Lonchura striata: one gene and its partner. The protein of the gene in region 2 purifies or fractionates together with the protein of the main gene of each other region. This does not show direct contact. Links are inferred from orthologs where the notes say so. Each region holds a gene or a part of one and is shown on either strand. Other genes may lie near its edges.

Region 1 (7,295 bases), on a different chromosome or scaffold from region 2:
GGTGCGCTCTGACCCCTCCAGGTGAGCTCCAGGTGCCCCTTGCCCCGCCCAGGTGCGCTCTGACCCCTCCAGGTGAGCCCCAGGTGCGCCCTGCCCCCCCCAGGTGCGCCCCAGGTGCCCCCTGCCCCTCCAGGTGCCCTCCCAGTCCCCCCAGGTGAGCCCCAGGAGCCCCCTGCCCGCCCAGGTGCGCTCACCTGGCAGTAGGGCTGGCTCAGCACCACCTGCAGCCGGTCCCACCTGGCCGTGGGCGTGGCCGGACGCTTGACCAGCGCCTCGGGCCCGAAGAGCCGCACCCGGCCCGGCCCCGCCCCCGCCCGGCTCTCGCTGGGCGACATCAGCGCCGCGCTGGGCAGCAGCACCTGCGGGCACAGGTAAGGCTCAGGTGTGCCCAGGTACCCCCAGGTGTGCCCAGGTATGGTTTAGGTGTGCCCAGGTACCCCCAGGTGTGCACCCACCTGTGCCCAGGTAAGGTTTAGGTGTGCCCAGGTACCCCCAGGTGTGCCCAGGTGTGTTTTTGGGTGCCCAGGTGTGTTTTTAGCTGTGCCCAGATGTGTGTTTTGGTGTCCCAGGTGTGCCCAGGTGCCCCAGGTGTGTTTTTGGGTGCCCGGGTGTGCCCAGGTGTGTTTTTAGTTGTGCCCAGGTGCCCCAGGTGTGTTTTTGGGTGCCCCAGCTGTGCCCAGGTGTGTTTTTAGCTGTGCCCAGCTGTGTTTTTGGGTGCCCAGATGAGCCCAGGTGCCCCAGGTGTGTGTTTGGGTGTCCCAGGTGTGCCCAGGTGCCCCAGGTGTATTTTTGGGCACCCCAGGTGTGCCCAGGTGTATTTTTGGGTGCCCCCGGTGTGCCCAGCTGTGTGTTTGGGTGTCCCAGGTGTGCCCAGATGTGTTTTTAGCTGTGCCCAGGTGTGTTTTTGGGTGCCCCAGCTGTGCCCAGGTGTGTTTTTAGCTGTGCCCAGGTGTGTGTTTGGGTGCCCAGGTGTGTTTTTAGCTGTGCCCAGGTGTGTGTTTGGGTGCCCAGGTGTGCCCAGGTGCCCCAGGTGTATTTTTGGGCACCCCAGGTGTGCCCAGGTGTGTTTTTGGGTGCCCAGGTGTATTTTTAGCTGTGCCCAGGTGTGTGTTTGGGTGCCCAGGTGTGCCCAGGTGTGTTTTTAGCTGTGCCCAGGTGTGTGTTTGGGTGCCCAGGTGTGTTTTTGGGTGCCCAGGTGTGTTTCTCGCTGCGCCCAGGTGTGTGTTTGGGTGCCCAGGTGTGCCCAGGTGTGTTTTTAGCTGTGCCCAGGTGTGTGTTTGGGTGCCCAGGTGTGCCCAGGTGTGTTTTTGGGTGCCCAGGTGTGCTCAGGTGTGTTTCTCGCTGTGCCCAGGAGTGTGTTTGGGTGCCCAGGTGTGCCCAGGTGCCCACGGGCTCACCTGGAAGTCGCCCCCGGCCGAGGAGCCCAGCAGCACCTCCACGAAGGCGGCGCCGTCGTTGCCGACGTGCAGGGAGTGAATGGGGCGGGTGTCACCCAGCTGGGGGAGCCACCAGTATAAACCAGTATAAACCAGTACAGACCAGGATAAACCAGTACAAACCAGTACAGAGCAGTATGAACCAGTACAGACCAGTACAAACCAGTATAAACCAGTACGGAGCAGTATGAACCAGTGCAGACCATTTCTGCCCCACTCAGGAGGAGCCTCCCAGTTCCCTCCCAGTCCCTCCCAGTTTATCCCAGTCCCTCCCAGTTCCCTCCCAGTCCCCGCCAGTCCCTCCCAGTTCCCTCCCAGTCCCTCCCAGTCCCTCCCAGTTCATCCCAGTCCCTCCCAGTTTGTCCCAGATTATCCCAGTTCAGCCCCACTGCCCTCCCAGTTGGTCCCAGTTTGTCCCAGTCCCCTCCCACTACATCCCAGTAACCCCCAGTCCCCTCCCAGTGCCCCCAAACCCCCTCTCAGTCACCCCCAGTCCCTTCCCAGTCCATCCCAGTTTATCCCAGTCCATCTTAATCCCCTCCCAGTTTATCCCAGTTCCCCTCGATGCCCTCCCAGTCCATCCCAGTCTCTCCCAGTCCATTCCAATCCTCTCCAAGTGTATCCCAGTTACTCCCAGTCTATCCCAGTCCCTCCCAATCCCCCCAAACCCTCTTCCAATTTATCCCAGTCCCCCCCAATCCCCTCCCAGTTTATCCCAGTCCCTCTCAATCCCCTCCCAGTCCACCCCAGTTCATCCCAGTCCCTCCCAATCCCTTCCCAGTCTATCCCAGTCCTTCCTAATCCCTTCCCAGTTCATCCCAATCCCCTCCCAGTTTGTCCCAGTCCATCCCAGTCCCCCTCAATCCCCTCCCAGTCCCCGCCAGTCCCTCCCAGTTTATCCCAGTCCCCTCCCAGTTTATCCCACTCCTCTCCCAGTCCCTTCCCAGTTACTCCCAGTCCCCGCCAGTCCCTCCCAGTTTATCCCAGTCCCTCCCAGTTCATAGTTCATCCCAGTCCCAGTTCATCCCAGTTTCCTCCCAGTTTATCCCACTCCTCTCCCAGTCCCTCCCAGTTCATCCCAGTCCTCTCCCAGTCCCTCCCAGTTCATCCCAGTCCCCTCCCAGTTTATCCCACTCCTCTCCCAGTCCCTCCCAGTTAACCCAGTCCCCTCCCACTTTATCCCACTCCCCTCCCAGTCCCTCCCAGTCCCTCCCAGTTACCCCCAGCCCCACCTCCAGCACCACGCTCAGCTGTTTCTCGCCCGCCGCCGCTCCCCTCCACTTCCCGCCATCCTCGGGCCGCAGCAGATTCTCCGCCGGGTGCCGCTGCGGACGCACCGAACCCTCAGAACCGAGCCCCGGTACCGCCGAGCCCAGCCCGGCTCCTCCCGAACCTCCCCGGGACCCACCGGGTCCGCGCTGGTCACCGACACCACCCGGGCGAACGGGATCTCCGCCATGAGGGCCGCGCCGGAAGTCCCCTCAGAGCGGCACCGGAAGCCGCCTCAGCGCCGCACCGGAAGTCGCCTCAGCGCCGCACCGGAAGTCGCCTCAGCGCGCCCTCCCGGGCCGCTCTGCTCCGCGCGACTCTGGGGCTCCATAGCGCGCGCCCATTGGCTGCGCGCATGCGCGGGGCGCGCTCTACCCGCGCGTCCTCCCAGCGGAGTTTTTCCCGCCTTTTTCCAAGCGCGGGAAGCCGTGAGGGGAAAGGAAATAATTAAACCTCCGCCAGGGTAATTAAGCTTCATTAATCCTTAGGGAAAGGCAATTAATCACGACTTGGCGCTAATTAAGACAAAGAAAAGGCGCTTTGGGCTGTTTATTAGCGCGGGGGGAGCCGCCTCAGAGCCGTGAGGGGAAAGGAGATAAGGAAACCTCGGCGAGGGTAATTAGGCGTCATTAATTAACGAGGGGGGTCGTTAATGAAGAGCAGCACGAGGCTCCCAGTGCTCCCAGTTTATCCCAGTAAGCGGCCGTACTCAGCCAGGGCTGAGGATTTCTTCACCCCGTCCCAAATGCGGGCGGCGTAGTGGAACCTGCACCAGTATGGACCAGTATAAACCAGTATATACCAGTATAAACCAGTACGGACCAGTATAAACCAGTACGGACTGGTACAGGTAATGAGCACCCTCCCAGTTCCCCCCAGTTCGCTCCCAGTCCCCTCCCAGTTTATTCCAATCCCCTCCCAGTATAAACCAGTAACCCCGAATCCCCTCCCAGTATAAACCAGTCCCCCCAAATCCCCTCCCAGTATAAACCAGTAACCCCAAATCCCCTCCCAGTATAAACCAGTAACCCCGAATCCCCCTTTAACCCTTTCCCAATCCCCTCCCAGTTCCCCCCAGTCCCCTCCCAGTATAAACCAGTCCCTCCCAATCCCTTCCCAGTTGCTCACAGTCCCCTCCCAGTCCCTCCCAGTATAAACCAGTAACCCGAAATCTCCATTTAACCCTCTCCCAGTTCCTCCCAGTCACCCCCAAACTCCTCCCAGTCCCTCCCAGTATAAACCAGTAACCCCAAAACCCCATTTAACCCTTTCCCAGTCCCTCCCAGTATAAACCAGTACCCCCAAACCCCCTTTAACCCTTTCCCAACCCCTCCCAGTCCCCTCCCAGTATAAACCAGTTACCCCAAATCCCCTTTTAACCCTTTCCCAACCCCTCCCAGTATAAACCAGTGCCCCAAACCCCCTTTAACCCTTTCCCAGCCCCTCCCAGTCCCCCCCGAAGCCCTCCCAGTATAAACCAGTCTCACCAGTTGCGCTCGGTCAGCAGGCTGTGGGATAACTGGGAGCGCGCGGCCGCCAGGACCCTCCCCCGCAGCCGGGCCAGGAGCCCCCCCAGCCCCCCCCGGCCGCGGAACGGGGGCAGGGCCGGGAACAGCGCCCCTCCCCCACCTGCGGGGTTCGTACTGGTTTGTACTGGGATAAACTGGGAGGGACGGGTTTATACTGGGTTTGGACTGGGAGGGGGTTTGGGGAGCACGGGGAGGGACTGGGACGTACTGGGATGGACTGGAATGGACTGGGAGGGGGTTTGAGGGGGCTGGGGTGGGTTTGGAGGGGATTGGGGTAGACTGGGATGGACTGGGATATACTGGTTTATACTGGTTTGGACTGGTTTGGACTGGTTTATACTGGTTTGAACTGGTTTATACTGGTTTGGACTGGGACGGGGTTTGGGGAGCACCGGGATGGACTGGGCCATACTGGGATGGACTGGGAGTGGGTTTGGGGGGGGTCTGGGGTGGGTTCAGAGGGGACTGGGATATACTGGGCCATACTGGGATGTACTGGGATGGACTGGGAGGAGGTTTGGGGGGTCTGGGGTGGGTTCAGAGGGGACTGGGGTGTACTGGGATGTACTGGGCCATACTGGGATGTACTGGGATGTACTGGGATGGACTAGGAGGGGGTTTGGGGGGGATTAGGCTGTACTGGGATATAGTGGGCCATACTGGGATGGACTGGGATGTACTGGGAGTGGGTTTGGGGGGTCTGGGATGGGTTCAGAGGGGACTGGGCCATACTGGGATGTACTGGGCCATACTGGGATGGACTGGGATGGACTGGGAGGAGGTTTGGGGGGTCTGGGATGGGTTTAGACCGGACTGGGCTGTACTGGGATGGACTGGGAGGAGGTTTGAGGGGTCTGGGGTGGGTTCAGAGGGGACTGGGCTGTACTGGGTTGTACTGGGGTGTACTGGGCCATACTGGGATGGACTGGGATGGACTGGGAGGAGGTTTGGGGGATCTGGGGTGGGTTCAGAGGGGACTGGGCCATACTGGGATGTACTGGGATGGACTGGGATGGACTGGGAGGGGGTTTGGGGGGAATTAGGCTGTACTGGGATATACTGGGCCATACTGGGATGGACTGGGAGGAGGTTTGGGGGGGTCTGGAGTGGGTTCAGAGGGGACTGGGATGTACTGGGCTGTACTGGGAGGGGGTTTGGGGGGGATTAGGGTGTACTGGGATATACTGGGCCATACTGGGATGGACTGGGATGTACTGGGATGTACTGGGCTGTACTGGGATGGACTGGGAGGAGGTTTGGGGGGTCTGGGGTGGGTTCGGAGGGGACTGGGCCATACTGGGCTGTACTGGGCCATACTGGGATGTACTGGGCCATACTGGGATGTACTGGGCTGTACTGGGATGTACTGGGAGGAGGTTTGGGGGGTCTGGGATGGGTTCAGAGGGAACTGGGGTGTACTGCGTTGTACTGGGCCATACTGGGATGTACTGGGAAGGGGCCCAGGGTGCCCAGGGGCTGTCTCTGGGGACCCGCACTGGTCCGTACTGGTCCGTACTGGTCCGTACTGGTCCGCACTGGTCTCACCTCGGGGCAGGGCGTCCTCGGGCTCCTCCTCCAGGGGCGGCAGCAGGAACAGATTCACCTCGGGCTCGGGGGGGGGCCCGGGGGGGAGGGGAGGAGCTCCCGCATGGACAGCGAGCCTGGGGGGCCAAAATCACCCCAAAATTATCCCGAAATTATCCCGAAATTATCCTGAAATCATCCTGAAATTATCCCGAAATCATCCTGAAATTATCCCGAAATTATCCTGAAATCATCCTGAAATTATCCCGAAATTATCCCGAAATTATCCCGAAATTATCCCAAAATCATCCTGAAATTATCCCAAAATCACCCCAAAATTATCCCAAAATTATCCTGAAATTATCCCGAAATTATCCTGAAATTATCCTGAAATTATCCCAAAATCATCCTGAAATTACCCCGAAATCATCCTGAAATTATCCTGAAATTATCCTGAAATTATCCCGAAATTATCCCAAAATCATCCTGAAATTATCCTGAAATTATCCCAAAATCATCCTGAAATTATCCTGAAATTATCCCAAAATCATCCTGAAATTATCCTGAAATTATCCCGAAATTATCCCAAAATCATCCTGAATTTATCCTGAAATTATCCCGAAATTATCCCAAAATCACCCCAAAATTACCCCAAAATCATCCTGAAATTATCCCGAAATTATCCTGAAATTATCCCAAAATCATCCTGAAATTATCCCAAAATTATCCCGAAATCATCCTGAAATTACCCCGAAATCATCCCGAAATTATCCCAAAATCACCCCAAATCACCTCAAAAATCGCCCCCAAAATCACCCTAAAAATCGCCCAAAATCACCCCCAAAATCATCCTGAAATAATCCCAAAATCATCCTGAAATTATCCCAAAATCATTCCGAAATTATCCCAAAATCACCCCCAAAATTACCCCAAAATCACCACCAAAATCAGCAAAAATCTCCCCAAAATCCCCCCAAATCCACCCCAATCCCCCAAAATCCCCCCAAAATCCCCCCAAATCCCCCCAAATTTCCCCAAATCCCCCCAAAATCCCCCCAAAATCCCGCAAATCCCCCCCAAAATCCCCCCAAAATCCCCCAAAATCCCCGAAAATCCCCAAATTTCCCCAAATCCCCCAAAATCCCCCCAAATCCCCCAAAATCCCCCCCAAATCCCCCCAAATTTCCCCAAATTTCCCCAAAATCCCCCAAAATCCCCCAAATCCCCCCCAAATTTTCCAAAATCCCCCCAAATCCCCCCCAAATCCCCCCAAATCCCCCCAAATCCCCCCAAATCCCCTCAAATCCCCCCAAAATCCCCGAAAACCCCCAAATCCCCCCAAAATCCCCCAAATTTCCCCAAATCCCCCAAAATCCCCCAAATCCCCCCCGAAATCCCCCAAATTTCCCCCAAATCCCCCCAAATCCCCCAAATCCCCCCAAATTTCCCCAAATTTCCCCCAAATCCCCCCAAATCCCCCCCAAAATCCCCCCAAATCCCCCAAATTTCCCCAAAATCCCCCCAAAATCCCCCAAAT
Region 2 (7,342 bases):
AAACTTCTAGGCAATAACAAAGATATTATTCCTAAATTGCAAGGTGTTCTTTCTTTCAAAAATCCTCATTTATATGAGCATAAATACATGCTTCTCAGTTTCACTTTCCTCAAAAACTGGAGAAAGTAGTCTTATAATTCCCTGAATTCTACAGCAGATCATAGGACAGTGTTTATATTCAGTAAATTGTTCAACAGTTGAAAATATTTAGAATTCCCTCTGTATTTTAACAAGGTTCCCTGTTAATAGCAGCTATGTAGCACAAGCATGGATTATCAAGTTTAAGATTAATGAAGTGAAGCAAGCAAGTGAAATCAGTTTGGCAAACAGGAAACTCACCTGGGCAGAAGATACGAGAGTTCCAAAAAGAGGAGACAAAATATCTATTAAAAATATTAAAGCACAAATAAATAAAAAAGACGTCAAGTAAATGTTTTGCATCTTGAACAGCTTGATACCACAGCAAAAAGGCCAGATTGTTCATAGACCTGGTGTAACAGAGGCATTCACAAGTTTACTGTTCTAAGTATTCAAGTCACTGACTCCCCTGTGAATCATTTAGGATCATATCCTTACAAAAATTAATAATCCTCTCAAAGTATTAAACAAGTTTTAAAAGCTGATAGGGAAAAAGTTCAACAACATCTTGAGAAAGGGCCATTAAATTACTCTCTCCACTATTGAGTGGACTTGAAGAACTGTGGCAGGGTGGCAGCAATAAGGGCATGCTTATTTAAGTATTAAAAGCAATAAGTCAATGCTTATTTTATCTGCTGCAGACTGACTGTGGGATATGTGTATTCATAGTTCAATCACAGTAGCACAGGAAACTAATCCAACTGGGGATTTATAACCACAACTGAAGCTGGTTTAGCTGGTTAAACAAAGAATATTGCCTGTCCACCAGCTCAACTAATCACCTAGCAGGACTCCCAGGACAGGACAGTCCAAAAGCCACAAATTCACAAAGCATATAAAAACATCCTGGACTAAAGCTCTAAAGTCCCTCACGCCTGCTTGTGCTAGTAGGCATGAGGTTGAGGAAAAGTTACAACCTAATTGTATATATAGGTCTTAAGTAATTTCTTCTCCCTCAAAGAACTACTATTTTTTTCTGCTTTATTTTATTGTATTTCTGTACACAATTCTCTTACTGATACTTGTTTCTGATTCTGTCTTGTGATGTATAAAATTTTATTTCTAACTACAGGGATGTTTAAAGGTGCACAAAGCTCTTCCCCCAACATCAAATGACAACAGAGCATTCCTAAAGCATCAGTATTGCACACCAAAGGCTCCACTCCATCTTGACTGATGGACAGCTCTCTCACAGCTGAATTTAAACAGATACATGAACCCCAGACACAGAACTTCAGAAGTACTTCACCTATTAATAGTGAATTATTAGGTCCAAACCAATCAACAGCACAGAGGCAGGTGCAAACAACTACTCAGAGTTATGCACCCAAGAAAAGCATCCCTTTAAATGCCACAAGTGGTTTTCCCCAGACTAGCTCATAAAGAAAGCAGCAGTAAGAAGCAGCATGATTTGTCTTGGCTAAATACACTTTATATTTCTGCCGCCTAATTCAAGTTACAACAAAGTATCAGCAAATAATGTTTTATACCTCTGAAAGAGAAAGGCCCAAATAAAAGAAACAATTTCTATGAACCAGCCCATTTAGAATATGAAATATCAGCAACACTAAGAAATACATGCATTTAAAAATACCCACAAACCAAAAATAAGCATTCTCTTGCTTTCTCCCAAAAGCCCTCTTCTAGTAGAAGACACTTGCTCACCTTTTATGTGCAGGGCTCCAGAATTATAGCTCTGTTCAATTCCACTGACTTTAGTGAGAAAAAACCTGAAAGGATTGCCTCCAGTCACCAAATCCCAGGTATCCTGGGCTTCACTGGGTGTTACATTATACTCCTCTTCTTTCAGATTCTCCGAGAGTTTGTCATCTTTGCAAAGATTCAGAGGATGCTCTTCAGGCATATCACATTTTTCTTCTTTCACTGTTTCTTTGTGAACATGCTTTTGCTGATCTTCAGGCTCTTCATCGCTACTAGAAAGACACCAACCTGAGCCTTCTTGGCTTGGTCTCTGTTTTACTGCTGGAGGTGCATCTGTAGAAAGACTTTTATCAGTGAACTTCAGGGGAGAAGTTTTTCTCTTGAGAGCAGCTTTCCTAGCTTCAGAGCATGGATATTGTGGTCCACTTGTTTTACCACATGTAGCATCTGATAGTGAAGATGTACATGGTTTTTCACTGTCAGAATTTTCATCAGCACTTTCATCGCTGCTAGATACTGTCCATTTACCGTGTGCACCTTCCTGAAGCATGTTCCTAGGAATGAAAAAACACCAAACAAAAATTGTACGTTTTTGCTACGCTCAAGTCTGTCTCCCTTCCTACCTCCTACTTGTTTATTACTTAAGAACCGTGCTTTGGTATTTGGCAGGTTCTCTGGGAAACTTCATACCGTACACGACTTGTTTCTGTGCCCGGGAAACAAAGAAACACGTGCAATGGTGGCAACCATCAAATGGGAAGCAGCAAATGTGAAAACCAACACATGGAAAGCGGGATAAGACACAGACTCCTATGAGAAAGCACTCCAAAAATCAGAGGTGCGAGCTGCACGACACAGGTATTTCCCCGCGGCTGAGGCGTCTGCTGAGCGGATTCAGGAGCACGGGGCGGCCCCGCGGGAACCCTCCGGGACCGCGGCCTTCCTCCGCCGGCCCCGCGCCCGCAGCGCGCCCCTCCGCCGCGCCTCCCGCCGAGCCCCGGCGGCGGAGCCCGGCCGCGGCCGCCCCGCAGCGAAGGCAGCGCCCGCGGCGGCGCCGCGGCAAAGAGCCCCGACAGCCGCTGCGGGGCTGCAGCCCGCCGGCCGCCGCCAGCACTCACTCACTCACTCACTCACTCACCCCGCTCACCGACCGCCGGCGCCCGGCAGCGCCCGCGCAGGGCAGCGAGAGCCAGAGCAGGCCCGGGCCCCGCCCGCCCGCGCCGGCCCCGCCCCGAGCCGCCGGAGCGCGGCCGCCGCGAGGCGCTCCGGGGCCGCCGCGAGGCGCTCCGGGGCCGCCGCGAGGCGCTCCGGGGCCGCCGCGAGGCGCTCCGGGGCCGCCGCGAGGCGCTCCGGGGCCGCCGCGGCAGGGCGGCCGAGGCTTGGCGAGCTGAATTATTCTAACCAGCCGTCATGGACCTTAATATTAATTATGGGCAGGTGCGGAATTTGCATAATGGCTCGTTCGGCGCGGTGTTAATTACTGTATCTGAAGTGCCCCGCTAATGAGATAAGTGCGTGAGGAGTTCGGGAAGGAGAGGGAGGAAAGCAGGTGTGATATTAATCAAAGGAGGAGCGCGGCCCGCATCAAAGCGCGCTGCGGTGAACTGAGCGCTCGGCTCTCCTTACTCTAATTTGTTGCAAGCTTGTGGCTGCAGTTAACAAATTCTGGAAGTGCCAACACGCAATGAAAACGGCAGGTTACTCCAGGAAAAGCTTTCCTGACAATTCCGCTGGTTTGTGTAATTTTCTCAGTGCTTGTCCGCAGAGTCGTACGTAACTTTTCCCTGAAATGTTCTGTGGGTAAACCCTTTGCTGCTGTACGATATGATGCTGTATTGTTAACCCTTCCTGAAGGTGTTCTGTGGGAAAAGCTCTTAGGAACGTTGGATGGCTTTGTATGTTCTCTGTGTAGTCTCTTCTCTTTGGAAATGTTTTTTTGTTTTCTGCAAGTACCTCAGAAAGTTTGATGGCTTCTGACTATGCTTTCATTGCACTCTCTCCTTATAGTTCCTGTCTGTGTGGTGACTTAACTGAGAATTAAAGTTATCTGGCATTTTTCAGGAAAAAAAAAGTATAGTCTGCTAGAAGGAAATTTCATGTGATTTGTTTCCTATAAGTCTGTACTATGTAGTCTAAGTTTGCAAAAAGCTTTTTCATCATAAGCACATAAAATGTAATAGTATGAAAAATTTTATTTTAACCTAAAATCCCAAACTGAATGTGCTCCCACTTTCAATTTTACTGGAACAGAGTAGATGAATAGAAGTGATTCAACAAGTGCCTCTTTTTTTCCCCCATAACAGTTTTGCAAAATAAAAAATCCTAGGTTAGGTTTATTGGTTTTTTTATGTGAATCACTTTCTTTCTGCAGGATTTTGAAGTGTGCAATGAAGATAGCAAAGGCTATTTAAGCAGAGAAGACTCTACAGTTGGTCTGGTAATGGTTTTTTTTTTTTTTCTAGAAACCCTCAAAGGTATATACTTTTCCATTTATGTTCTGAAGATCCAGCTTATAGATGTCTCACTGTTGAAAATACTATATATTGACTGGCCTACACTAACTGGAGTGGATTGCTGTAGATGTGGTAAACAGAAATGCCTACAAACCCTAAAATTAATTTTCTAATTTGCACATATTTATTCCAAAAGAAAATAATCAAAACCCTGGCTTTTCTGTTGAAGACTGTGATCAGTAGAAAGTTGTATTGTATTTCATATGTGTACAAGATACATAAGTGACTTACTGAGCTTGTTACTGGTTTTTATCAGTGGTACATTCAATTTTATTCAGTGGTCTCAGTAACTGTGAAACTGCTACATGTCCCAATAATAAACACGTATTCTCAAAAATATATCTGGTTTTGATTTCAGGTAATAGTTAATAGTTGGACATTTTTAGGCATGACTTCTCAAATGTAAATCTACAGCTCTATAGAAATCTTAAGAAAAGAAAGATTAATTGAGAGAAATAATGTGTTTCCATACTTACAGGAAAATACAGGATATATTGTATGGCTTGATGTAGTTTTAGAAGTAATATTTTTACTCAAGTAAGTACAAGTGAATTAAAAAGAGTATAAAGAATACAAAAGATTTCAGAATACACATAGTGTATCTGTGAGTCTGTCTTTCTCATGGCATGTCAATAAATGAGACCAATTACTATAATGTGTATTATATATATAAAGTATGGAAAGGCTGAATCATCTTTCTTCTCCAGCTTGAGCAATCTTCTTCCCCAATGACTGATTGCAAATAATTACTTTTATTATTTTTACATTAAGCACATAGTTTACAAAAACTGTCTTGATAAGGTCATAAGCAAAATTGTATCTATGATAATTTAGTAAAACCCACAAAAATATTTTAGTAAACTATGAAAGTAGTAATTTCTCATATATTTCAGCTGTGGGTAAACATTTTTTCAATGAACTGTGGCCAGATCTAAAAATGCTTAAGGCTTCTGATGTGAGTCCTAACTATTGAATTATGAATCTCAAACTGCTCAACTTCTTCCCTATCTATCTTCTCCTAGATATTTTTACTATATAAAAATTAAGTGTTCTGTCAAATTCCCTGAGTGTTTCTTACAGCAGGAGTACTCAAAACATGCTTAAGGCATTTAAACAAGAGCAGGCACTGTGCATGAGTCACTGATGGCATCTCCTTGGAAAGAGAATACAAATAGAGGACTCCTGGGAAGACATGAGATGCAGGTTTAGTTATTTCTTCCTGAAAAGGTGCCAAATCACACCTGCTGTGGCTTTAGGCACTACTGTGACCATTTGGTCTGTGCAGCTGCACAAAAATTAATTAAGAAACCTTTGTTCTAGGGCTGATTCTGTCATCTAGTGGTTTTGCTAGCTCCTTAAGTGGGCCCAATTCCAGCAACTGTTGCCCTTTACCCAATTACTGCTCATTGTGAAGATCTCTAAAAGGTCCCTGGGGAAGCAGATACTTTTCTTTTTGTGGCTTCTGCTAGTGTGCATTAGGCAAGGTTTGTAGCACAACCACATGTTTTGCTTTTGCTGATGACTGGGTCCTGAGTGTGTTCCTTTCAACGTGCGTATGGTTTTTAATCTGGTTCTGAGAGACACAACTTTCACTGTGTACCAGAGAGGAACCAAATGCAGATGTTGCAATCCTAAAAGTTAATTGTTAAGATCCAGTTCTTGAGCATGTTATTGTGCGTATTGCTTTGTTGTCAAAATTAACAAAATCATAGGCTAAAGGAACAGCCCTTCTATTATTTTGGAAATGGTTAAGAACATCCCTGGCAAGGAGAGTCCTTCCAATTGTTTTTGCAGGACATGGGGAATAGTGTGCATACATTATTTCTTAAGGTGAAACTGTTTTTCAGCTGCACTACATACTAACATTTTTTTTTTCAGTAGAAATGGCAATTGCTTAGCATCATCAACTGCAATCAAGCAATCGAATTTTTAGTAAATTGTTGCTGCTTTTTTTTTTTTTTTTTTTTTTTTTTTTTTTTTTTTTTTTGGTCGCGTTTGCCTTTATTCTGTAAGTTAAAAGTAATACTAACTTTACCCGCTAGATGTCATGAATGAACTCTTCCTTGGAAAAGGTGAGCTCTAAGAATTTAAATCACATTCCTGCTCCGCTTGATTTTTCTAAATAATTTGTTATAACAATGCTATATTGTGAGTAAAATACTATTTTAGTGTGGTTATTAATAGAAATTTGAACTTTATATAATTTTAGTGTTTATAATTAAACCTTCTGAGGCAAATAACTGGGAAAAAATGTAAACAGAGATTAAACTCATTGTTGAATGGATATTGTATGTATGTCTGCATATAAATACTGTCATTTCTGGGAAATAGCAACATTGTAGGAATCATGTCTATGTGACTTTTTTTTCATTCTCTGTCAGTTTGGTTCAATGATCCTCTTTTCCCCAAAACTATTTAAAGTCATCTAAAATGCTCTTATATTTCAGCAACCATTCAGCTAACTAGCTGCTAGCATTTCATCTTCCAAATGAAAAGGAGACTTCAGGAATTGTAGTCATTAAAATACATCATTTCCCAAGCTGAAGTTCCCTTCCTGGTAGTGTTACATTTAGATCTAACTAAAAGCACTCTCTACAGTGTTCCTGAGAGTCCAGGCCCCCAGTGTCCAGTGTTTTCCTTGACCCGAAGCTGTACCTTTGCAGGAGGACACCAGCAGGTCAACAGCTGCTGCTGAACAAGATGCCAGCAGCAGGACACTCTGAGATCCAGAGTAGAGAAGGGCAGTCTGAGCTTGAGGCTGCTTTCAGCTGCTCTCCTGGCATATATTATCAAAGCTTTCTAGACAGAACTCCCTAGTCTGTTTATATATCTGACATGGTCCTGGGGGAAGTGTTTCGGGCATGGTGGAACATACAGCTTTAGCTTAAGTGGTCTCATCATGTTTGGCTTGTCCTTTCTCCAGAGTGGAATAAGCCTAGATTGCTCTGGAATCTGCTCACATCCCCTCAGGTGGCTGTCTCAGTGCTGCAGCTGTGGGCAGTCTTGTACTCTCATAACACAGATGTAAG

Evidence for each region. The genes of interacting proteins can lie anywhere in the genome.
Region 1: the proteins of TDP1 (region 2) and DNA repair protein XRCC1 purify together in Homo sapiens (affinity purification with mass spectrometry; 4 studies listed by BioGRID and IntAct, with this or other methods). This does not show direct contact. The link is inferred for Lonchura striata from reciprocal best matches to the Homo sapiens genes TDP1 and XRCC1.

The regions. Positions count from the first base shown.
Region 1 is NC_134639.1:76,662-83,956, reverse strand, and holds the start of DNA repair protein XRCC1, read right to left. Parts: upstream 3,037-7,295; coding exon 2,976-3,036; intron 2,917-2,975; coding exon 2,669-2,916; intron 1,497-2,668; coding exon 1,398-1,496; intron 360-1,397; coding exon 195-359; intron 1-194. UniProt on the Homo sapiens protein: Scaffold protein involved in DNA single-strand break repair by mediating the assembly of DNA break repair protein complexes. Negatively regulates ADP-ribosyltransferase activity of PARP1 during base-excision repair in order to prevent excessive PARP1 activity.
Region 2 is NC_134608.1:17,272,601-17,279,942, forward strand, and holds the start of TDP1 (tyrosyl-DNA phosphodiesterase 1), read right to left. Parts: upstream 3,021-7,342; 5' UTR 2,939-3,020; intron 2,355-2,938; 5' UTR 2,351-2,354; coding exon 1,804-2,350; intron 384-1,803; coding exon 340-383; intron 1-339. Other genes in the region: EFCAB11 (EF-hand calcium-binding domain-containing protein 11), read left to right, coding at 3,211-3,237, 4,166-4,274. UniProt on the Homo sapiens protein: DNA repair enzyme that can remove a variety of covalent adducts from DNA through hydrolysis of a 3'-phosphodiester bond, giving rise to DNA with a free 3' phosphate.